4 linked regions of the Arabidopsis thaliana genome follow. The protein of the gene in region 1 interacts with the protein of each later gene in a biochemical or structural test. Each region holds a gene or a part of one and is shown in the gene's direction. Other genes may lie near its edges. The genes, in order: HOS1, ICE1, SCRM2 and CO.

Evidence for each region.
Region 2: the proteins of HOS1 (region 1) and ICE1 form a complex in vitro, tested with the Arabidopsis thaliana proteins (4 studies listed by BioGRID, with this or other methods).
Region 3: the proteins of HOS1 (region 1) and SCRM2 form a complex in vitro, tested with the Arabidopsis thaliana proteins (one study listed by BioGRID).
Region 4: the proteins of HOS1 (region 1) and CO form a complex in vitro, tested with the Arabidopsis thaliana proteins (2 studies listed by BioGRID).

Annotation. Positions count from the first base shown.
Region 1 is NC_003071.7:16,610,895-16,618,652, forward strand, and holds HOS1 (ubiquitin-protein ligase), read left to right. Parts: upstream 1-1,882; 5' UTR 1,883-2,046; coding exon 2,047-2,136; intron 2,137-2,272; coding exon 2,273-2,663; intron 2,664-2,948; coding exon 2,949-3,083; intron 3,084-3,173; coding exon 3,174-3,349; intron 3,350-3,837; coding exon 3,838-4,239; intron 4,240-4,357; coding exon 4,358-4,516; intron 4,517-4,620; coding exon 4,621-5,112; intron 5,113-5,530; coding exon 5,531-5,668; intron 5,669-5,882; coding exon 5,883-6,520; intron 6,521-6,745; coding exon 6,746-6,908; 3' UTR 6,909-7,228; downstream 7,229-7,758. Other genes in the region: AT2G39805 (Integral membrane Yip1 family protein), read right to left, coding at 1-8, 339-507, 695-775, 875-932, 1,406-1,459; eIF6B (Translation initiation factor IF6), read left to right, coding at 7,565-7,574, 7,670-7,758. UniProt on the Arabidopsis thaliana protein: E3 ubiquitin-protein ligase that mediates ubiquitination and subsequent proteasomal degradation of the transcription factor ICE1. Acts as a negative regulator of cold signaling pathways.
Region 2 is NC_003074.8:9,832,137-9,837,019, reverse strand, and holds ICE1 (basic helix-loop-helix (bHLH) DNA-binding superfamily protein), read left to right. Parts: upstream 1-1,747; 5' UTR 1,748-1,884; exon of another isoform or gene 1,885-2,131; 5' UTR 2,132-2,229; coding exon 2,230-3,234; coding exon of another isoform or gene 3,235-3,321; exon of another isoform or gene 3,322-3,416; coding exon 3,417-3,641; intron 3,642-3,733; coding exon 3,734-3,904; coding exon of another isoform or gene 3,905-3,934; exon of another isoform or gene 3,935-3,983; coding exon 3,984-4,067; 3' UTR 4,068-4,353; downstream 4,354-4,883.
Region 3 is NC_003070.9:4,382,757-4,387,188, forward strand, and holds SCRM2 (basic helix-loop-helix (bHLH) DNA-binding superfamily protein), read left to right. Parts: upstream 1-1,547; 5' UTR 1,548-2,001; coding exon 2,002-2,886; coding exon of another isoform or gene 2,887-2,967; coding exon 2,968-3,180; intron 3,181-3,262; coding exon 3,263-3,433; coding exon of another isoform or gene 3,434-3,442; exon of another isoform or gene 3,443-3,552; coding exon 3,553-3,636; 3' UTR 3,637-3,895; downstream 3,896-4,432. Other genes in the region: AT1G12855 (F-box family protein), read left to right, coding at 1-855; AT1G12870 (F-box and associated interaction domains-containing protein), read right to left, coding at 4,373-4,432. UniProt on the Arabidopsis thaliana protein: Mediates stomatal differentiation in the epidermis probably by controlling successive roles of SPCH, MUTE, and FAMA. Functions as a dimer with SPCH during stomatal initiation.
Region 4 is NC_003076.8:5,169,626-5,174,989, reverse strand, and holds CO (B-box type zinc finger protein with CCT domain-containing protein), read left to right. Parts: upstream 1-1,904; 5' UTR 1,905-2,292; coding exon 2,293-3,054; coding exon of another isoform or gene 3,055-3,195; exon of another isoform or gene 3,196-3,287; coding exon 3,288-3,647; coding exon of another isoform or gene 3,648-3,652; 3' UTR 3,653-3,941; coding exon of another isoform or gene 3,942-3,979; 3' UTR 3,980-4,086; coding exon of another isoform or gene 4,087-4,096; 3' UTR 4,097-4,828; downstream 4,829-5,364. Other genes in the region: AT5G15843 (uncharacterized protein), read right to left, coding at 2,608-2,761, 3,079-3,195, 3,294-3,652, 3,942-3,979, 4,087-4,096. UniProt on the Arabidopsis thaliana protein: Transcription factor that acts in the long day flowering pathway and may mediate between the circadian clock and the control of flowering.

The DNA of each region.
Region 1 (7,758 bases):
GTCCATACCTAACAGAAGCACACACGAGTCATTAATCAAGAATAATTTGTGAAAGGCCTAGCTTTTAGCCAATCTTTAGAGGATAACATATTATGATGCTTTCTGTTCATTTGTCCAAGAGAAAATGAGGATATTTTAATCAATCGCCTGAAGTAACATAGGAGTAAATGAATAGCAAGATCATGCTTTCGGAAAGGTGCAGAAGATAACACTTAGAACGGTAACAAATTAACGGCATGACTGAGCAATGGACCGATTAAAGAAATTCGAAAGAACTCTCTCATGGTAAGTACAATCACCAAGAAGAGTGAAGGAGAAAAAGGCATTAAAAGACTTACAAATCAGGGTTTGCATCAATCTTGTTGAAAAAATCTCCACTAGTAGGATATAAAGAGCTCATTAATCTGTTCAAAACAACGTCCGTGTCCACGTCGAAGTATTGGGTATATGAGTAGACATTAAAAAAGCCCTTCCAGTTGTTTGATGGCTGTTGTGCTGGTCCTTCTACTGGAGCAGATAAGATATATCACCATATAAGACAGAACAAGGTGAAAACAAAGGTATATAGGATCTTGACATCCATAAGAAAAACGAGGTTGACTCACACAAGTATTCTTTCAACCATTGTACTGATTCATGGTGACTACAGATAAAAATATCTCCTAAAAAAGGAATCTAAAAGGAGCATATATACCTGTTGGGCTCTCAAGAGTTTGATAACCCTTTGTATTGTTTCCTAGATTCGGTGGAAATATTTGCATGCTTGCAGAAGGGCCTGCAATAATGCAGAAGACATACAACACTCAATGTCTTTCACTACCGGAAAAGTTCTTTGCAAAAGATAATTCAAGCAGAAACTAGCAAAAGAACACACCTTCATTGACGCTTGCTATTGGTACATTTGTGCTTCTCTTGTCGTCGCTGATCACAGCCTAAGAATACAGATGTTTGTATCAGACATAATAACACGGGGATAGTCAATCCATTCACTCAAAACATTTATCTTAGCGGATTCAATCCAAAATGAAGCTATCATGCAAGCATTTAAACTCAAATACAGTTTTGTTTTTCATACGAATTGTCTCCTAAAATGGTGAAAAAACTTAAATAAAACGCCTTAACAAATATAGAAACCCAGAAATGCAAATAAGGAAATCGTCCATTGTTCTATGAGTGTGAAGACTTTAGGCATCATCGTGGACGCGAAAAAATATGACAAAAAAATCTGAAAAGTTTCAAAATTCTACTTCCTAATGTAACACTTGAGACAGAACAACAAACAAAATGATGGCATGAACAAAAAACGTTAATTTTCCCTTCACACAAACAAGGATCATAGAAAAACTCAATCAAAGAGCTTATTGATGGTGAAATGAAAGAAGCAATAGATGTAATATAGACTTACCGGAACTGAACCAAGCAAATGGCTTGATTGTAGATTAGCGAACGACTCATCCATCGATCAAAGAGAAAAAGATATCAAAGAAAAACTTAGAAGATAGGTTCTTCTAATCTCATTCAAAAATCGATAAGATCGGAAAAAAGGTCGTCCCTTTTTCTGAATTTTTAAGGTTTCTGGGTTTGCTTCTCCTCCTCCGTCGTCGTGGAAGCAATTGGGAAAGGAAGAGAAACTAAAGAAAGAACGATCCACGCGCTTTCTTAGCAAGTCGGTAAAACACGCGCTGTTCACTTTCGGACACGTGATTTGCCGACTTGGGCCCAGACAATCACAAGATTCACACAAGACTTCAAAAACAAAGGCCCATATTTAAATTTTGACCCGAATCGTGATTTGCCGACTTGGGCCCAGACAATCACAAGATTCACACAAGACTTCAAAAAGAAAGGCCCATATTTAAAATTTGACCCGAATTAAACAATCCGACTTGACCCGTTTGAGGAGAAATTCACTCAACAGTGTTTCCTCTCTTCGTCTTCCCTCCCGAGAAAGCTCAACGGAGCCCTAGACTGGTTTTATCACTCTCGCCAACACCAACCACGCTTTTTCTCTCTTTACCTCCATTTTTGTATTCGTCACCGGAGTAGATGGATACGAGAGAAATCAACGGTTTTGCCTCCGCCGCGAGATCGATATCTCTTCCTACGCAGCCTAATTACAGTAGCAAGCCTGTTCAGGTTCTTCCGCTTTATACCTTTTTATTTCTCCACTGAATTAGTTTAGCTCAGGTCTTAGGATTTCTAGGTTCAGCTTAAAAAAATGGGTTTTGCAGAGCTTAGAGTTAATTTCGAATTTATTGTTTGTAACTTACAGGAGGCGTTGAAACATTTGGCATCTATAAACCTCAGAGAATTATGTAATGAGGCAAAAGTTGAGCGATGTCGTGCAACAAGAGACTTAGCTAGCTGTGGAAGATTTGTGAACTATGTGTTGAATCCATGTGGTCATGCCTCCTTGTGCACAGAGTGTTGTCAGAGGTGTGATGTTTGTCCTATCTGTAGAAGTACGCTACCAAAATTTGGAGATAGACTTAGGCTTCGTCTCTATTATGAGTGTGTTGAAGCTGGTTTGATTTCCCGAACACATGAAGAGGCGTCACAGGATTCGGATGAGGATGAACATCAATTGGCAGCTGATGTTCATCGCCTTTATTCTCTGTTTGATGTTGCTATGAACAATAATTTGATCTCGGTGGTTTGCCATTGTATCCTTCAGTTGCATTTATGCTTGGTGTCTGATATATGCATTTAGTCTTTTAGTTTCCTGTTTGATACTTTCATGAATTTCTTTTAGATTCGTATGCTTGTGCTATTAGGAACTGTGTTTATATGGGGAGTTTTGTACTGATAGGTTCATGTATTTTTAGGTAGTTCTTGTTTCATGCTTGTCTCTGTTGGGCGAAATGTGCATAGTGTTTTTGTCATTCATTCTCTAAGAGGTATTTTATGTTGGATGCATAGTTGACATCTCCTTGACAGAAAATTAATAGATATCACCAATGTCTGTATGGATGAGACAGCTGTATCTAGTGATCCGGTCATTGCTTTCTTGCTGGATGAAGTTGTTGTCAAGGATTGGGTCAAGCGTACATTCCGGAGCACCTTAGCTGAACTTCAAGAAATCTGTATCCTTTTAGCTGTTAATATTTTTATGTTTCTTAAGACTGTATATTTGTGCACCGTAAGGTCTGTCTATCTTTAATATTGGCCCTCAGATAATCTTGAAACAAAAGAGATGCAAGCGTGGTTAGATAAACTCCTAAGGTGTTCCAAACAGGTGGCTGGCATATGTAGTGTGCTCGAAGTTATGGAATCAGCTTTTAAGGGTTCTGTGTCACCTCAGCTTCAAGATGTGCAGACGCTGAGAGAGAACATTGGTAAAACAAAGCAGGTCAGCCATGATTTCATTTCATTGATATCCAAACAGTTTTGCAAAAGTATGCTTAAATAACTCTCTTTATCCCCCTTAGAAATATCCGTTGTACATTGAAGTTTCCTACGTGCATTAATGTTTAGTTTGCCTCTGTCATAGAATGAGTTACTTGTTTTGTATACGGCTTGCAGTAAAGTTTGTACTGTAAAAGCTTTGCATTTAGATGTATGAAAGGCACGATAATGGTCTTCCATCATCAGCTTGGATCTGATTTTCTATCCCTAGCTTTGTGACTTTATTCTTCTTTTCTTTTTTAATGTCATTGCATATTAGTGAATGTAGATGGGGTATATGTAACCTATCTTTATATGACATACTGAATAGTAAATGAGTATAACCTTATGGCTTCTGACCAGAGAGTGTTTTAAATAGATCAGCTCTTTAGCTATTGGTGCAAGATCACTGAGCTTACGTGTGCTTACCCTATTCTTTTTATTTTATTTCAGCATTTGGACATAATGGTCTGGTGCATCAGACATGGATTTCTGGATGATGTGAGGTCTCGATATTCGAATTTCACATCGTGGAATGCACTGGTAGGGGAAAGAAAATCAAATGCAGTTAAGCGTGCATGGCCTGATGCTGTAGACCAGTCTTCAGATTGCAGTGTACAGAGTGCTTCCCTCTTTATTGAGGATGCTTTAGAAAATCTTGAGAGAGAGCCAGAATACAGTCAGGAAATAGGTGCCGACCTAGAAGTTGGACGTTTACAGAAGGATAAGAGATCATTTCTTAGGTCCAAAATAGAGGGAACTTCAGGATCTTATCCATTTGAGAATCTTAGAACTGCTGCTGACATGCTCTTTTTACATGGCGGTTCAGATTTGGTTGTTGCGAAGCAAGCAATTGTATCCTTTTGTCATCGCCTAGTTTCACATTACATTGCACTTTACTTTTAATGAATACTTGAATCAGGAAACATTCCCATGTTTTTCCTTTACGCTGGTTTCCTTAACCAGAAGATAGTTTCTTTACTACCTGTTTGATCGGCATTGGACTACCCCTGAAAAATATTGGAAGCACACTATAGATGATTTTGCTGCTACGTTTGGCATAACGAGGCATTCATTGCTGGAGTCTTTTGTATTTTATCTTCTCGATGATCACTCAGAGGAGGCACTCCAGGTATCTTTTGGCATTCCCAAGGAAAACTTATAGAAACGTGTATTTTATTGTGCCATACATTTATTAATTGGTGTAGCTTACAAACTTTCCAAATTATATTTCAGGAAGCTTGTAGGATTCTACCTGAAATATGCGGTCCAGAAACCTACCCCAAAGTTGCGCAAGTCCTGTTAGAAAGGGATAACCCTGAAACAGCTCTTATGGTCTTGCGTTGGTCTGGTCGTGATGGTGTATCAGAATTGGTTTCAATTGGTGAAGCTGTCACAGCTCTTCGTGTGAGAGTGGAATGTGGTCTTTTGAGTGAAGCATTCACATACCAAAGGACACTCTGCTTGAAAGTAAAGGAAAATAATTTGAAAAATGGAGCTGTGAAACATGCGTCTGATGATCTAGACATCTGGAGTTGGACGGAATGGATGGAGATACTTGTCAATGAATTCTGCTGTCTTTCTATTCGGAGAAACTTGGTTGATCGAATCATTGAGTTACCGTGGAACCCAGATGAGGAGAAATATCTGCACAGATGCTTATTAGATTCGGCAACTGATGACCCCTCATCAGCTGTGGGTAGTCTCTTGGTTGTCTTTTATCTTCAGGTAAGTAATTATATTTTCAAACTTTAAATAACTTCACTTGAACAATGGGCTGAGAATTGTTTTTCAGAACGAGAATAGCTTTAGCAACAGGCAAATAGATATTTAGACAGCAGCTTAAACCTCCCGAGCTTTAAGCTACATATTGAAAATTTTAATAAGGGATCTCAATGATGGCTCTGTATAGAATTAGCTCATTCTATAGAGACTGGTATATGTTCTCGTATTTGATGTGTGGCTTCAACAATCTTTTATAATTCGAGCTTGGTGTAGTCTGGGATGTTGGTTAACAAGCATGAAATTATTTGAACAACCAGGGAAACTGCATCACTATAGACCATGCTTATTTTCTGGAAAGTTATTATCTTTTGTATATGGTCTTTCTTTGACTAGAAATTACTGGTTGTTCACATTGCTGCAGCGCTACCGTTACATCCAGGCATACCAAGTCGATCTTAGGCTTCAGAAAATCGAAGAGGCTTTCGTATCCGACAATCAAATTGGGGAAGAAGTTATGTTCAGAATGCGATCACAGAGTCATTGGAGAAAAGAGTTAGTTGTAAGTATTTCAGCCAACTTTCCATGTACAAGTGGATCCTTCCATAGTTCCTTGTTAAAGGCTACATCCTCACATTTGCGTTTTAGTGCTTAATAACCTGTTGATGCTTGCAGGATTGTCTAGTATTCTGAAACTTGAATGTACAATATTACTTGATACTGGCTTTTTTTAACTGGACATTTAAACCTCCCGTGTCTCTGCTCCTTTGAAACAGGATAGAGCCATAGATATACTTCCAGTAATTCAGCAGCAGCAAGTTAGATCTGGACAATTTTCTGAGATGGAAGATGCCTCTGAAGGAGCAAAAAAATCTGATCTTCCTGATGCACCTGACATGATTACTTCTTCAGTTCCCTTTGCCACTACTAATTCCGTTTTTCTCCAAAGTGCTAACAATGCCAGAGCTAGAGAGCCAGTGGCTAATAATGGCAGTCCTTTTCAACCTGGTCATATGATAGGAAACGCGTCCCATGATCTTTCACATGGAAGGTTATTTACAAACGCAAATAGAGGACAAAAGAGTGAAGTTAGAAGCGTAACCAAGAATCTGAAATTCGGTGAAATGTCAACTCCGTTCAAAGATCTAAATAGAGCTCGTGGGAACAGCCAGCTCCAAGGGAAAAGGACTGAAGAATCCTCTCCAGAAGTAAATGTTGATAGATACATAGAGAATAATATGAGCTCTCCTTATCTCCGCCGAATCACAGCTAACAATCCCGTGACAGTGAAATCTAGCAGCAACCATCTCAATGGATCTTCACAGAAACCGGAATCCACCTTTTTTGGCACAAGGATGCAACCAGACAAAGATAACTTTGTTGATTTGGATGATCCAATGGACATGTCTTCGAGGTATTCCTCTCTTCTTTATCTCTTAGCCATTTGTTCCTTTCTGAATCGTGCCATTAAAGTAGAGGACACTGGTATTGTTTGGTATAAAACTATTGTTACCGTTTGGTTTGAAAATAAAGTCCAGTTTGGTTTCAGTCTAAGGAACTTTGTTTGGTTCTTATGTCCACGGCTTTTAGTCTTATATTGGATGAGCTACATATCAATTGTGTGTATTATGAATTGCAGCTTAAAGGACAACAACAACAATGTCTTGGCCACGGAGAGCAGAAATAACAGTGGTGGATTGAGATGGCGGTCAGATGAAACAAGCGATGACGAAGATGAACTGACTAGTTTTGGTTCCATGCCGGTGAAGGGAAGGAGGAGACGTAGATTCGCAGCAAGATGAAATGAAACAAACACTCGAAAAGACCATCATCAATTATGTTTAAAGCATAGAGAAAGAGAGAGAGAGGTAGAGCAAGTTGTGTAAAGAGGGGAGAGAGACTGTTACAGTGAGCGTTGTTCTCCTGTTATTTTTTGTGCTGAATTTTGTGTATTTCTTCTCTAGTCTACCTTTTTTGGACAGTTATTTTAAAGATATCATTGTGATGAGCGGAGTGATATTATTATTATGAGTATGTTTAATTTCTTATATTGGTGCAGCTGATTGTTGAATCGTAGAAGTTATAACAACACATTGAGATTAAATCATTTTCTTTTTACATTCACAATTTCCTCTCAAAATTTTAATTTTTAACTTTTTTATTATTTACCAAAACTAATAAATGGAAATAAGTAGCATAAGCTTGTTCCAAGTTTCTGATATATAAATAGGGTTTTCGGAAGAGAGAATAGGGTCTCTTCCTATCGTTCCGTCACTTTTTGTTCCGATTTGTCGACAAGGTAAACCTTAAAACTAAATCTTTCAATATAGCATAACCAATGATCCGAAAACCTAAATCTTTCATTCTCTGTTTCTGCCTTGGATCTGTATTGAAATTCATAATCTCATATTAGGTTTTCGTGTTACTTAATTCCGCAGGTGTTTGTTGGATCCATATCATGGCGACTCGTGAGTTTCCCTTAAGCTTTAGCTTTTTATACGATGCTTTCTTTTCAAGTTGCTTACAGGATTGTTCTTTTTTTTTCTGTTCTTGTTTTTGGCAGGTCTTCAATATGATAACAATAATTGCGAAATTGGTGTCTTTTCCAAACTCACAAATGCTTATTGTCTCGTTTCCGCAACATCTGCCTCC
Region 2 (4,883 bases), on another chromosome or scaffold:
TTGCTAGTTGATTCAGCACATTCACCAAATTGCTACCAAATGAAGGATATATCGACTACTTGGAAATAAGTTTTCCTTGCACACTAACCATTACCATTTAATTTGATGGAGTTAAAAATAAGCTTTAAGTTGTTCATATTCATCTTTAAAAAATTTCTAATGAGTAAGTTTATTTTGTTCAAGCCATGCTGGATTTATTGAAAACAAAGAGACTATTTTCATATATTTGCAAAGAAACAATATATTGAAACTGGTGAAATAGATACGTCATCCATTTCATCAAAGATCAATCTTCAAGATTCCTATGTGTATTATAGTAGCTTTAAAATAAAGTAAAACTAATATTGAATTATAATTCTTGGGAAGTGTTTATTATTGAAAATCAAATCATGTATAGCTACAGTAAATAAAAAGAAGTAGATAGAAAGAAAGAAAATGCAGTATAAATTTTTAATCTGTGTGAAATGAAAATTTGCAAAATCAATATTCATGAAACGGATAAAATGCACTACCGTACTTGATGCATAAATAAAAAATGGCTGTTTGTACCAATCCACATGTATTATATGCGTTTAACTAGGATTACCAATATTTTTGACCTCTATCCAATTCACCTTCTGCTCTTTTTGTTCTATCTAATTCCACATTCTACCCAATTTACCAAATTCAATTATTATATGTAATTACAATTTAAAATCAATAATTCATGTTTACTATTTCGCGATTAGAGTAAATCCGAGTTTAAAACCTTCCCAACAACATGTCAAAAACACTTTGAAAGCTTGGCCGAGTCTTAAAAAGTTTGACCGAGTCTTAAATTCAGATTTACTCAAATTTCGAAACAATAAACGCGAATTATTGATTATAAATTACAACTACAGAAATAAATGGAAATTGGTTATTTAGGTAGAATTTTATAGTTTGTATGAAATTAGAAAGAAGATAAAAAATACATAATGAATTGGGCTGAGGTCTACTACATAGTGATCCTAATTGAACCCATATAGTATGGGTGGACTGCAACAAACAGCCCATAAAAAAAAAAAAATTCAATGTTTATTAAAACCTTTAAATGAAGGAAACTAAGATAGATAGCCGGAGAACACGTTTAAATCTCCGGAATCTTAGCCGGTAGAAAAACAAATTCTCTAATAATAAAGCATAAACCAAAACTATATAAGCAAAAAGCCAATTTAAGGCACAAAGCCACAATTGAAACTAACAAAACTTTTTAGAAAATGAATCCCTAATTACTTCCTCTAGAAGACTAGAAAGCATATCGCAACACAACTATATTTTTTTGGGAACTCAATTTAGTTGATAATGGTGATAAACGCTACAATCATCAGAAAATTTGGAATTACTCGTCCTTACTTAATTAATGTTTAAAAGACTTATGAAATTAAACTATTTACTTACAAACTTGAGCTTGATGTGGCTTTGTTCAAGAAGCTTAGGAACCATCGAAAAGATGTCGACGCCGGTAAAGTCGAGATATGCGTTACAACATAATTATTTATAATTTTTTAAAAAAATACAAAAAATAAAAGGAAATATATTTAATAGTAAGAATATAAAATAAATTTTATTACCATCTTTTGAAAAAGAACTTTTAAGTACATAACAATAATTAGGTAATAATATGAGTTAAAGAAATGCATGGAAGACACGCGTTGCATGAATGATGCTAATTACACTTTGAAATTATCATCATCATCATTAACTTACTTAAACACTGTCTATATAAAGACAGAGACAGTGACAACAGAGACAGAGAGATAAGCTTAAGCCAAAATTAAGCAGAAAAATGGAGAAATAGTGACGGTGAGAGAGAGAGAGATACGGTAAACGAAGCAAAGCAAAGAGAGTCACGAGAAATCTGGGGTATGTGTTCAATGATAAAGCAATTTCATGGTGGCCGAAATTGAATCCATCAAAAAAAAAGTTTCAATTTTTGAAAGCTCTGAGAAATGAATCTATCATTCTCTCTCTCTATCTCTATCTTCCTTTTCAGATTTCGCTTCTTCAATTCATGAAATCCTCGTGATTCTACTTTAATGCTTCTCTTTTTTTACTTTTCCAAGTCTCTGAATATTCAAAGTATATATCTTTTGTTTTCAAACTTTTGCAGAATTGTCTTCAAGCTTCCAAATTTCAGTTAAAGGTCTCAACTTTGCAGAATTTTCCTCTAAAGGTTCAGACTTTGGGGTAAAGGTGTCAACTTTGGCGATGGGTCTTGACGGAAACAATGGTGGAGGGGTTTGGTTAAACGGTGGTGGTGGAGAAAGGGAAGAGAACGAGGAAGGTTCATGGGGAAGGAATCAAGAAGATGGTTCTTCTCAGTTTAAGCCTATGCTTGAAGGTGATTGGTTTAGTAGTAACCAACCACATCCACAAGATCTTCAGATGTTACAGAATCAGCCAGATTTCAGATACTTTGGTGGTTTTCCTTTTAACCCTAATGATAATCTTCTTCTTCAACACTCTATTGATTCTTCTTCTTCTTGTTCTCCTTCTCAAGCTTTTAGTCTTGACCCTTCTCAGCAAAATCAGTTCTTGTCAACTAACAACAACAAGGGTTGTCTTCTCAATGTTCCTTCTTCTGCAAACCCTTTTGATAATGCTTTTGAGTTTGGCTCTGAATCTGGTTTTCTTAACCAAATCCATGCTCCTATTTCGATGGGGTTTGGTTCTTTGACACAATTGGGGAACAGGGATTTGAGTTCTGTTCCTGATTTCTTGTCTGCTCGGTCACTTCTTGCGCCGGAAAGCAACAACAACAACACAATGTTGTGTGGTGGTTTCACAGCTCCGTTGGAGTTGGAAGGTTTTGGTAGTCCTGCTAATGGTGGTTTTGTTGGGAACAGAGCGAAAGTTCTGAAGCCTTTAGAGGTGTTAGCATCGTCTGGTGCACAGCCTACTCTGTTCCAGAAACGTGCAGCTATGCGTCAGAGCTCTGGAAGCAAAATGGGAAATTCGGAGAGTTCGGGAATGAGGAGGTTTAGTGATGATGGAGATATGGATGAGACTGGGATTGAGGTTTCTGGGTTGAACTATGAGTCTGATGAGATAAATGAGAGCGGTAAAGCGGCTGAGAGTGTTCAGATTGGAGGAGGAGGAAAGGGTAAGAAGAAAGGTATGCCTGCTAAGAATCTGATGGCTGAGAGGAGAAGGAGGAAGAAGCTTAATGATAGGCTTTATATGCTTAGATCAGTTGTCCCCAAGATCAGCAAAGTAAACACTTACTTTGTCTCTTTTATCTCCTTAAGAGCTTGTTTACTTGTTGCTGTTATAGAGAATTGTTGTGTTGTAGCTTTGTAGGGCCTTTGTTGTTGTCAAACTTTGCATGTAGTTGCTTTACTCTTTTGAGGAAGAGGCTCGTGATAGTGTTTTATGGATTTTCGATGAATTTGCAGATGGATAGAGCATCAATACTTGGAGATGCAATTGATTATCTGAAGGAACTTCTACAAAGGATCAATGATCTTCACAATGAACTTGAGTCAACTCCTCCTGGATCTTTGCCTCCAACTTCATCAAGCTTCCATCCGTTGACACCTACACCGCAAACTCTTTCTTGTCGTGTCAAGGAAGAGTTGTGTCCCTCTTCTTTACCAAGTCCTAAAGGCCAGCAAGCTAGAGTAAGGACTATATTCTGTATAACTTTTGCTTAGACTGGAAAGAAGAAAACAAAGATTCATGTTTGAGAGATTACTCTGCTTCTTTTTCACAGGTTGAGGTTAGATTAAGGGAAGGAAGAGCAGTGAACATTCATATGTTCTGTGGTCGTAGACCGGGTCTGTTGCTCGCTACCATGAAAGCTTTGGATAATCTTGGATTGGATGTTCAGCAAGCTGTGATCAGCTGTTTTAATGGGTTTGCCTTGGATGTTTTCCGCGCTGAGGTGATCTTCTACTCTCAGTTGAAAGGTTAAGGATTTGTAGAACAGTTTTAGTAGTAACATGTTTTCTTTTGTCTATCAGCAATGCCAAGAAGGACAAGAGATACTGCCTGATCAAATCAAAGCAGTGCTTTTCGATACAGCAGGGTATGCTGGTATGATCTGATCTGATCCTGACTTCGAGTCCATTAAGCATCTGTTGAAGCAGAGCTAGAAGAACTAAGTCCCTTTAAATCTGCAATTTTCTTCTCAACTTTTTTTCTTATGTCATAACTTCAATCTAAGCATGTAATGCAATTGCAAATGAGAGTTGTTTTTAAATTAAGCTTTTGAGAACTTGAGGTTGTTGTTGTTGGATACATAACTTCAACCTTTTATTAGCAATGTTAACTTCCATTTATGTTTCATCTTAAAGCTATGCTCAAGAATTTTTTTTAAAGTCTTCATCTTTGTTCATGAGTGAACTTCTCAAAGAAGACAGACAAAACATTTGCACATATACAGACAAAACAGTTATGTTAAAGGTATAGCTTTGGTATTAGCTGATGAAATGAGCTTTGATGATGTAAGAGTGAAGAAAAACATTGAGATTTTTAAGAAAAAACAGAGAAAAGAATGGTGAAGGAAGAGGCAGAGCAAAGAATAGACCCTACCATTTTGTTTGTTTTCTTCTTTAAATGCTTACTTAATGTTTTAAGAACTTTTATATACGTTGTATGTATCCGTACAAAAGAAAGATTTAGAGAGATAGAGAGGAGACATAGTTAATGGCGGTTAGAGATAGAAAGAGAGAGTCACGAGAACGTAGAGGATGTGATGAAGAAACGTAAAAGTGGTAGGTCCTTTGAATCTTTTAAAAACCTAACCTTTTTTATAGGGTTTTAATTTAGCTTCTCTGAATTTTTCTATGATTATAATGCATGTAGTAATGAAGTCCTCGTGATTCTAGTTTTTAGTGATGTCCTCTTGATGATCCAAGCCG
Region 3 (4,432 bases), on another chromosome or scaffold:
TCTGAAAGCTGTGACGGACTTTTCTGCATCCATTCCCTAAAAACACAAGCCATATATGTAGTTAACCCGGCCACTCGGTGGTTTCGACAACTTCCTCCGGCTAGGTTTCAGATTTTGATGCAAAAGTTATACCCCACTCAAGACACTTGGATTGACATAAAACCAGTAGTCTGTTATACAGCATTCGTGAAGGCCAATGATTACAAATTAGTGTGGTTGTATAATTCTGATGCCTCGAATCCAAACCTGGGAGTTACAAAGTGCGAGGTTTTTGATTTTAGGGCAAACGCTTGGAGGTACTTGACTTGCACTCCAAGCTATCGGATATTCCCTGACCAAGTACCAGCAGCTACAAACGGGTCTATTTATTGGTTCACGGAACCATATAATGGCGAAATAAAAGTGGTAGCTCTCGATATTCACACTGAAACGTTTCGTGTGCTACCTAAGATTAATCCGGCCATTGCTAGTTCAGATCCTGACCATATCGACATGTGCACTTTGGATAATGGTTTGTGCATGTCGAAAAGAGAATCGGATACGTTGGTCCAAGAGATATGGAGGTTAAAATCATCAGAAGACTCATGGGAGAAGGTTTATACCATAGATTTGCTTTCTTGTTCTTCTTCTTCTTTATCTGAGTTCCGCGATGGATTTAATTGGACACGAAAAGATTTGGTTGAGCCATCCACACCAGTGGCGATATGCAAGGACAAGAAGATTCTGCTCTCACATCGCTATGCCCGCAATATGATCAAATACGATCCCCAAATAAAATCTATCAGTTTAATTTACCAACCTCCTTTGTGTAGAAGATATGCTTCTTATTTTCAGAGTTTGATCTCTCATATATAAAATGCTTTGATGTATTTGGAAGCATGTAATGTAAGAAACAAAGCATTAATTGTTTGGATTGTTATATTATCCGATAGCATGCTGTTATTCATAAATCATAATAAACCATACTTATTTCGCCAAATGACACTATACTTACCAAAAATCATACTACTTTATGAAATGATACAGATTTTTCAAAAAAATGAGGACGAGTATTTTCGTTAATCCACACAAAAATCAGTTTCATTCTGTGTGTGGATGTAAAAGGAAGATGAAATATAGATTTTATCTTAAAGGGACCATTGCCTCGTTGTTAAAAAAAAGGGACCATTGCATCCGACATCTTTTATCCGTATTAATCTTGAAATGTTTATTCAATATACTTTGTTGCAAGATTTTTTTTTATTCAATATACTTTTGTTATTCATGTCAAAAAAAATTTGATTAATAGCCAATCTATGTAACAATCTAAACACAAGTTTGCCGCTACAATTAATATGAGTCTATGACACACATCACAAAGTTTTGAGAGATTAAAATTCTTTAGTCCCAAATACTTCAAATATAGAAAAAAACTACAATTTTTCTTTTCAAAATTTGTTTATTTTACGGTGACAATTTTTATGATTGCCAACCAAATCCCACATTATTAAGTTTTTCAACCAAACTGAACTGTATACTTATTTTGATTATTAACGGTCGGATTTAGCTTTAACTAAATCATCTTCCTAAGCTCTATCACTGAAATAATTCTGCAGACAAAAAAAAATGAGAGAGAGGTGGCAAAGATGAAGTGGAGGTGAGAGACGGAAAGCAAAAACAATAGTCACGAGAATCAACACCAACTCTTAAACCAAGATAGACCAAGAAACCAAACAGAGTAAATAAATGGTGGCCTTGACAACATTGAAATCCCCAAAAATCTCAACTTTTTAGGGTTTTCGAGCTCTGAAATCTCTCTATCTTTCTTCTTCAGATTTCTCACTTTTTTCTTCTTCATAAGATCCTCGTGATTCCACTTTATAACGTACGCCTCCTTTCAAGAAAAATCTCTCTCTATATTATCTACGTTTCTCTCGCCTTGTCTCCTTTTGAGGTTCCATTTCTACTTCTCTCCAAAATTCGAAACTTTTCCCACTCTCTCTCTCTCTCTACTAGTTTGACATGAACAGCGACGGTGTTTGGCTTGACGGCTCCGGTGAATCTCCGGAAGTTAATAACGGTGAAGCTGCGTCTTGGGTCAGAAACCCAGATGAAGACTGGTTCAATAACCCACCACCACCACAACACACTAATCAAAACGACTTCAGATTCAATGGTGGCTTTCCTTTAAACCCCTCAGAGAATCTGCTTCTTCTTCTTCAGCAATCGATTGATTCTTCTTCTTCTTCTTCTCCGTTATTACATCCTTTCACACTCGACGCTGCTTCACAGCAACAACAACAACAACAACAACAACAGGAACAGTCTTTCTTAGCTACGAAAGCTTGTATAGTTTCTCTTCTCAACGTCCCAACCATCAATAACAACACTTTCGATGACTTCGGCTTTGACTCTGGTTTCTTAGGACAACAATTCCATGGAAATCATCAATCTCCGAACTCGATGAATTTCACTGGCTTAAACCACTCAGTACCGGATTTTCTTCCAGCTCCGGAAAACAGCTCAGGATCATGTGGATTGAGTCCTCTGTTCTCAAACAGAGCAAAGGTTTTAAAACCGTTACAGGTAATGGCTTCATCTGGCTCGCAGCCAACTCTGTTTCAGAAACGAGCTGCAATGCGTCAGAGCTCGAGTAGCAAAATGTGCAATTCTGAGAGTTCTTCTGAAATGAGGAAATCGAGCTACGAGAGAGAGATTGACGATACTAGTACCGGAATCATCGATATCTCTGGATTGAATTACGAATCTGATGACCATAATACTAATAACAACAAAGGTAAGAAGAAAGGAATGCCTGCAAAGAATCTTATGGCTGAGAGAAGAAGAAGGAAGAAGCTTAATGATAGGCTTTACATGCTTAGATCAGTTGTTCCCAAGATCAGCAAAGTAACCAAAAAGATTCTTCCTTTTTTCTCTTTGTTCTCCTTAATAACTTCTTGTGTCACTAATTTTGGGTTGCAAATGTAGATGGATAGAGCATCAATACTTGGAGATGCTATTGATTACCTCAAAGAGCTTTTACAAAGAATCAACGATCTTCACACCGAACTTGAATCTACTCCACCGAGTTCTTCAAGCTTGCATCCGTTAACACCGACTCCACAAACGCTGTCTTACCGTGTTAAGGAAGAGTTGTGTCCATCTTCCTCCTTGCCAAGTCCTAAAGGCCAACAACCAAGAGTAAGAATAAGCTCAATTGCTTTCTAGTGGACAAAGCTGTATTCTTTAATTTTCTTAGTAACGCTTCTTTGTTTTGATATAGGTTGAGGTTAGATTAAGAGAAGGAAAGGCAGTGAACATACACATGTTCTGTGGACGTAGACCAGGTCTTTTACTTTCCACCATGAGAGCTTTGGATAACTTAGGATTGGATGTTCAACAAGCGGTGATTAGCTGTTTCAATGGTTTTGCTTTGGATGTTTTCCGCGCTGAGGTAATATAGTTGTTAAGATGCTATGCTGATCACTGATTAGTAAAACTAGCAGTCAAAGAATAGTTATTTGAGAGAATGATTAGTATACAAGTAACAACATGTTTTGTGTTTCTAATCAGCAATGTCAAGAAGACCATGACGTGTTACCTGAACAAATCAAAGCAGTGCTTTTAGATACAGCAGGTTACGCTGGTTTGGTTTGATTGCGAAGCAGAAGGAAGCATCTGTGTGGAACAGAGCTAGATCTAAGTCCTTGTTCTGTTTTAGTCAGCAATTTTCTTACTTAGTTTCATCAATTTCAATCATGTATGGAAGATGATAACTGTTTTATTTTAGCTATGAGAACATGTGTTTGGGGAACAATAGTTGCAACCTTTGAGCAAAATGCCATTGTTTCTCAATAATTCTACTTTGCTTTTCATTTATATGTTGTTTGCAAGAAGAGAGCAATGTTGATTTTCATTGATAAAACACACATGAGTCTGTCATGAGAAAAGGCTAAACAAAATATTAAGAAATGCACAATTCATAGGCAAACGCTCTGATATATCAATTTTTCAGAACAGAGATGAATCTCTATGTAAAATTCATATTCTTTATAAATGTCTGAGCTTGGTTCAGTTTAGTAAGATTTGGTTTGTGCCGTGGGCGACTGAAGATGTTAAAGACAAAAACATAATGGAACCAGATAAACTTGGCTAATTGGTAAGAATTAAAAGAAAATCTATGGTATAAATCTTCTCCCATGTGTCTTCTGATGATTTCTTCAGCCTCCAAATATTTTGGATCAGCTTATCTCCTTCTCTTTTCGACATGCACAAAGCATTATCCAGAGTGTATATATGGCTAGGATCTAAACTAGCAATAGCGGGAACTATCTTTGGCAGCAACCGGAATTTTTCTGTAATGATATCGAAAACTATTACTTTGATTTCAGCATTATATAGCTCTGTGAACCAATAAAGCGTCCCGTTTACAGATGCTGGCTTTTGGGCATGG
Region 4 (5,364 bases), on another chromosome or scaffold:
GGATTCGAGCTAGCACGTGAAAGTGCATAAAAGTGATTACCTTTTGCCAAAGGTCACTGCACTTTTCCTCAGATAGTTTCTCACAGCCATGGAAAGTGGAGAATCCGCATAAACGTACAATTACAAGCTTTATATGGTCCCTCGACTCTTATTCTCTTCTCAGTCTTTGCAACTAAATAGGGTTTTCGTTAATCTGAAAGAAGCAAAGTATTCGAAACCACGGAAACCTGATAAAGAATGAAAACAAATAAGCAATAGTGTTTTCTTGAAAATCTCGATGCAACTTTGAGGATATTGTTACATATGATCTATTACTCGTAACAGTTATCCGAAGGCCTACACATGTGAGAGAAGTTCCAAACCGCTACAACAATAAACTTAATTAGAGACTGTCAACGAGCAATAATAAGCAAAACTACTTTTTTCTTGAGCTACAAGTGAAAAGGCCAATACACAATTTACTCTTCATGAACTCGAACCACGTTACAATCTCCAAAAAATTTCATCACCAAAGCACTAAAAGCCAAAGATGCCTCAACTTATCCAACTTGGCAGGATAAAGATCTCCAAAAATGCTTACTAAAGAACCTAGAATCTTTTCTTTAGAATTCAATGATCATATAACCATTTCATAACAATTCTAAATGCCATTACATTCATCGTAAAACCAGTAAATAACAAGAACTTGTATGTTAAGTTCCAATTACCAAGCAAAAAAAAACTTTTCAAAGTTTAAAGTTCAAAATGGGAAAGAGAAGTGCGGTGTAAGCAAATATGAAAGAGGAAGAGATGCGAAAAGTGTATCCTAGGACCAGCATTTTATACAAAAAAAAAACACTCACTTTTCAGCTCTTAAGGCATAGAGTGAAGGTAGCCATATGAATTTGGCCACTAGAGCGTCCGTCAAATCTCATTCTTTTTGGACCACATAATGGGTATCATACATTCACTGGACCCAAAAGCGTAACTGGAGCTAGTCCTCAAACCTAGAGAGTATCGTATCCTGTAGCTTCCACATAGTAAACATTATGAGCATAACACCAACAAGGCAACTCCAAGTACTAATGGTTATTAGTACAGGAAAACCCACGATGCTAAACACATGAATGGGTCACCAAATAGAGTGAAGATGGTTAAATTGCATCTATGGATCATGTGGACTAGTAAATGAGTGTAGCAGAAAACTTCACAATTACCTCTGTGATCTTAGAAACATGTCCTGAAAATTCCATACAAGTGTCGTTTGTATTAGATTACTTCCACAGGTTGAGATCTAATAAAGCTACAATAAATAGTATAGAGTATCATCATAAACCCAAATTACAGAGATGTGACAACACTCATGAGTCATGTTTTGTAACTACTTACTATAATGGTTACCAAGTGCAAATTTCTACATACTATATATGATAAATCTAATTATTGCTCATGTGGACTCCAAAATGCCTTTTAAGTTTTAACTTGTGCGTCAGGTAAATTCTAATTTGTAGTCTCAAGACTACTTGGCGGATTCGAGTTTGATCCTAGAAAATCCACCGTCTCTATGTTTTTCATGTCACTTTTCCGATATGATTCTCATTACCATGACTTTATGAACCAGATTAAACATTATAACACTTTTCATCAGAAAATCCTTCGAAAGTTTCAATTGCAAATCTTTCTAAATGATGCAGATGCATTCACAAATAATGGAACAACAACTATACCATATTCACGAGTTTGTCTAACCTTTGTATAGGTAGTCAACCCATAACAGTTGGTGATGGCTCTGACACTCGAAGCCTTACTCGGAGAGATACCTGAACAGTAATCACAAGGTTCAGGATGAATATTCAACCACTTAAACTTTGTATAAAGCCAAAGAGATAAAACGAATCTAGCTTTACTTTAAATAAAATGCATATGAAAATAGTAAAAGGTGATACGAAAAAATAGTAACAATTTGCCTGCAACACCATGGCATTATCCGGACCACTTCCTCTTGAGAATCTCAGTATGGCAAGTGGCAAAACCTAAGCAACTTGTGAACGGGTCCCAACGAAGAAGTGCATAGGAGGAGATGTTTACACTTTACACTTTACACTTTACACTTTACACATAGGCCTTCCCAAAAGCTCAACTAGCTGCAAGAGGATCCAATAACATGTAAGAGCCACTAACGCTGTGCCACGTGTAGGCACTCAGGATTCGATCTCCCCTCTACTTATTCTCTCACACCAGATATAAGCTTTATTAGCCCCTTCTTTCAGATACCAGCTCCCACACCATCAAACTTACTACATCTGAGTTATTATGTTGAAACAAGAGAGTAACGACATAGGTAGTGGAGAGAACAACAGGGCACGACCCTGTGACACATGCCGGTCAAACGCCTGCACCGTGTATTGCCATGCAGATTCTGCCTACTTGTGCATGAGCTGTGATGCTCAAGTTCACTCTGCCAATCGCGTTGCTTCCCGCCATAAACGTGTCCGGGTCTGCGAGTCATGTGAGCGTGCTCCGGCTGCTTTTTTGTGTGAGGCAGATGATGCCTCTCTATGCACAGCCTGTGATTCAGAGGTTCATTCTGCAAACCCACTTGCTAGACGCCATCAGCGAGTTCCAATTCTACCAATTTCTGGAAACTCTTTCAGCTCCATGACCACTACTCACCACCAAAGCGAGAAAACAATGACCGATCCAGAGAAGAGACTGGTGGTGGATCAAGAGGAAGGTGAAGAAGGTGATAAGGATGCCAAGGAGGTTGCTTCGTGGCTGTTCCCTAATTCAGACAAAAATAACAATAACCAAAACAATGGGTTATTGTTTAGTGATGAGTATCTAAACCTTGTGGATTACAACTCGAGTATGGACTACAAATTCACAGGTGAATACAGTCAACACCAACAAAACTGCAGCGTACCACAGACGAGCTACGGGGGAGATAGAGTTGTTCCGCTTAAACTTGAAGAATCAAGGGGCCACCAGTGCCATAACCAACAGAATTTTCAGTTCAATATCAAATATGGCTCCTCAGGGACTCACTACAACGACAATGGTTCCATTAACCATAACGTAAGGCTTTTGTATATTTGTTACCCCTTCAATTTAGCATCTTCCCATAACGCAGCAGGGTGAATTCTTTCATCATACACACAAATCCACTGATCCACTGCCAACAGTTGATCTATAGCACATAGAAATTTCACCAGAAGTCTATAATAAAAACAATATATGCTTCCTTTTGCATCGACTCTCTTTAGTCCTCTTACCAGGGGGATTGAGAATGTCTTTGTTTCTGTCATTAGGCATACATTTCATCCATGGAAACTGGTGTTGTGCCGGAGTCAACAGCATGTGTCACAACAGCTTCACACCCAAGAACGCCCAAAGGGACAGTAGAGCAACAACCTGACCCTGCAAGCCAGATGATAACAGTAACACAACTCAGTCCAATGGACAGAGAAGCCAGGGTCCTGAGATACAGAGAGAAGAGGAAGACAAGGAAATTTGAGAAGACAATAAGGTATGCTTCGAGGAAGGCATATGCAGAGATAAGACCGCGGGTCAATGGCCGGTTCGCAAAGAGAGAAATCGAAGCCGAGGAGCAAGGGTTCAACACGATGCTAATGTACAACACAGGATATGGGATTGTTCCTTCATTCTGATACTCCTGTGGCAAAAAGAAAAACTAGATTGCAAGCTGTAAATTACTTTTAGTTTGAGATTATGTTAGGTTTGGTGAAATTCTTAGCTTCAAGAAGTATTACTACTGTTGTGCAAATGGGTTTGTAGTTTTGGCTAATTAAAACTATAGTATTCTTCTTTCTCTGCATTAGTTAAACAAAACCAGTCTAATTGGTACAGATCCCCATTTGTGAAATATGGATCATCAAGAAGTGAAAACGCAGATTTCACCTTGCTAACTACTAAGAGGGAAGCCAAGGTTCAAAGCCAATAACTTCCCGATAACCTGAACATGTGACACTTTCACGCCTCCCTGACAACAAAAAGATTCTACAATTCAAGTTGATAACACAGACTCCTCAGCTGTAAATCACAACTTCTTACTAAAATGAGTCATATCACGTTCCTAATTGTAGAAACCATCAGCCATATATGTTCTCGGCTTCAAGAACTGTAAGAAGAAATAAGTAATAACAACCAAGTGTATAGCTTATACTATGTGTTAATGTTAAGTGATGGATTCGAGACCTCACGTGAAAAGTTCATAAAGTGATATAAGGATGCTGCACTTTGCACTTTTTTGCACTTTTCCAAAAATCTAAGGATAGTTCAGATCGATTCTCAAAGCCATCAAATTTTAAAACCATTCCCAAACTTTACATGGTCCCTGGGCCTTCATAGATTCTCACTCTTTTAACTTCTTGCTTACAAAAAAAAAACCATTCTCCTTAATCTGAAGTAGGAAAAAGTCTGCAACTACAGCATGAGTTTGACAGAAAAATTATAACACTCTGCTTTCTAAGGTTCTTATCTTGCTTCAATGACCATATACTAAAATAGCAATTTCCTCCACATAATCCACAAAAAACTTTGGTGTCATGTGAAGAAGGCCTGAGAGTAGTTCCTAACTAACCAATAACCATTACAAAGGAAATCCACAGACTGACTAAGAAGAAGTAAAGACAGAACAAATGAAAAATGCCAAAACAGAACAACACAAGCACAGCTATATCTGAACACGCCTTAAAACACCATTTAATATATAATCATCTCTATACTTACCAGAGAGTCAGAAACCAGTATAAACCCTAACATTTATACAAATCGGAATCAGTCACCATCAAAATATAAACCCTAACATTCATTCAAACTGATTTTCGATAAAGAAACTTACTTTCAACCCGTCACAATAGATTTGGGATGATTTTGGATAAATTTGAGGAAAAATATGCGAAATTCAATAGATTGAATATGCAAGGGTTTAAGGATGTGAAATTCAATAGATTGAAAAAACACAATTTTTTGCTCAATTAGATCCAAATTCATCCCAGATCGATTTTGTCTGACGAGCTGAGATTAAAGGAGTTTACCAGAAAACCCCAAATCGGGATTGTGAAGTGAAAAGCCCTAAATTTTGAGCGACGATCGATCATCAAACTTCGAAATATTCAACAATGACGCACGCAACTGGTCTTGTCTAATACTAACGGGCTGGGCCAAAGGATCTGATATAAGGCCCAATTATTCTTGCGCGATAAACTTCTGTTTCAGGGGACGGCCCAAGTAGTCTTCCGAACTAAGCTTATCTTCTTTCAGGAAGTTTCCTTTTTTGTTGTTGCATGATCATTTTCTATCTTTATCTTATCAAAAGATAATAATCTTATCATTCACGATGAGTTATTCTAAGCATTTCGACAA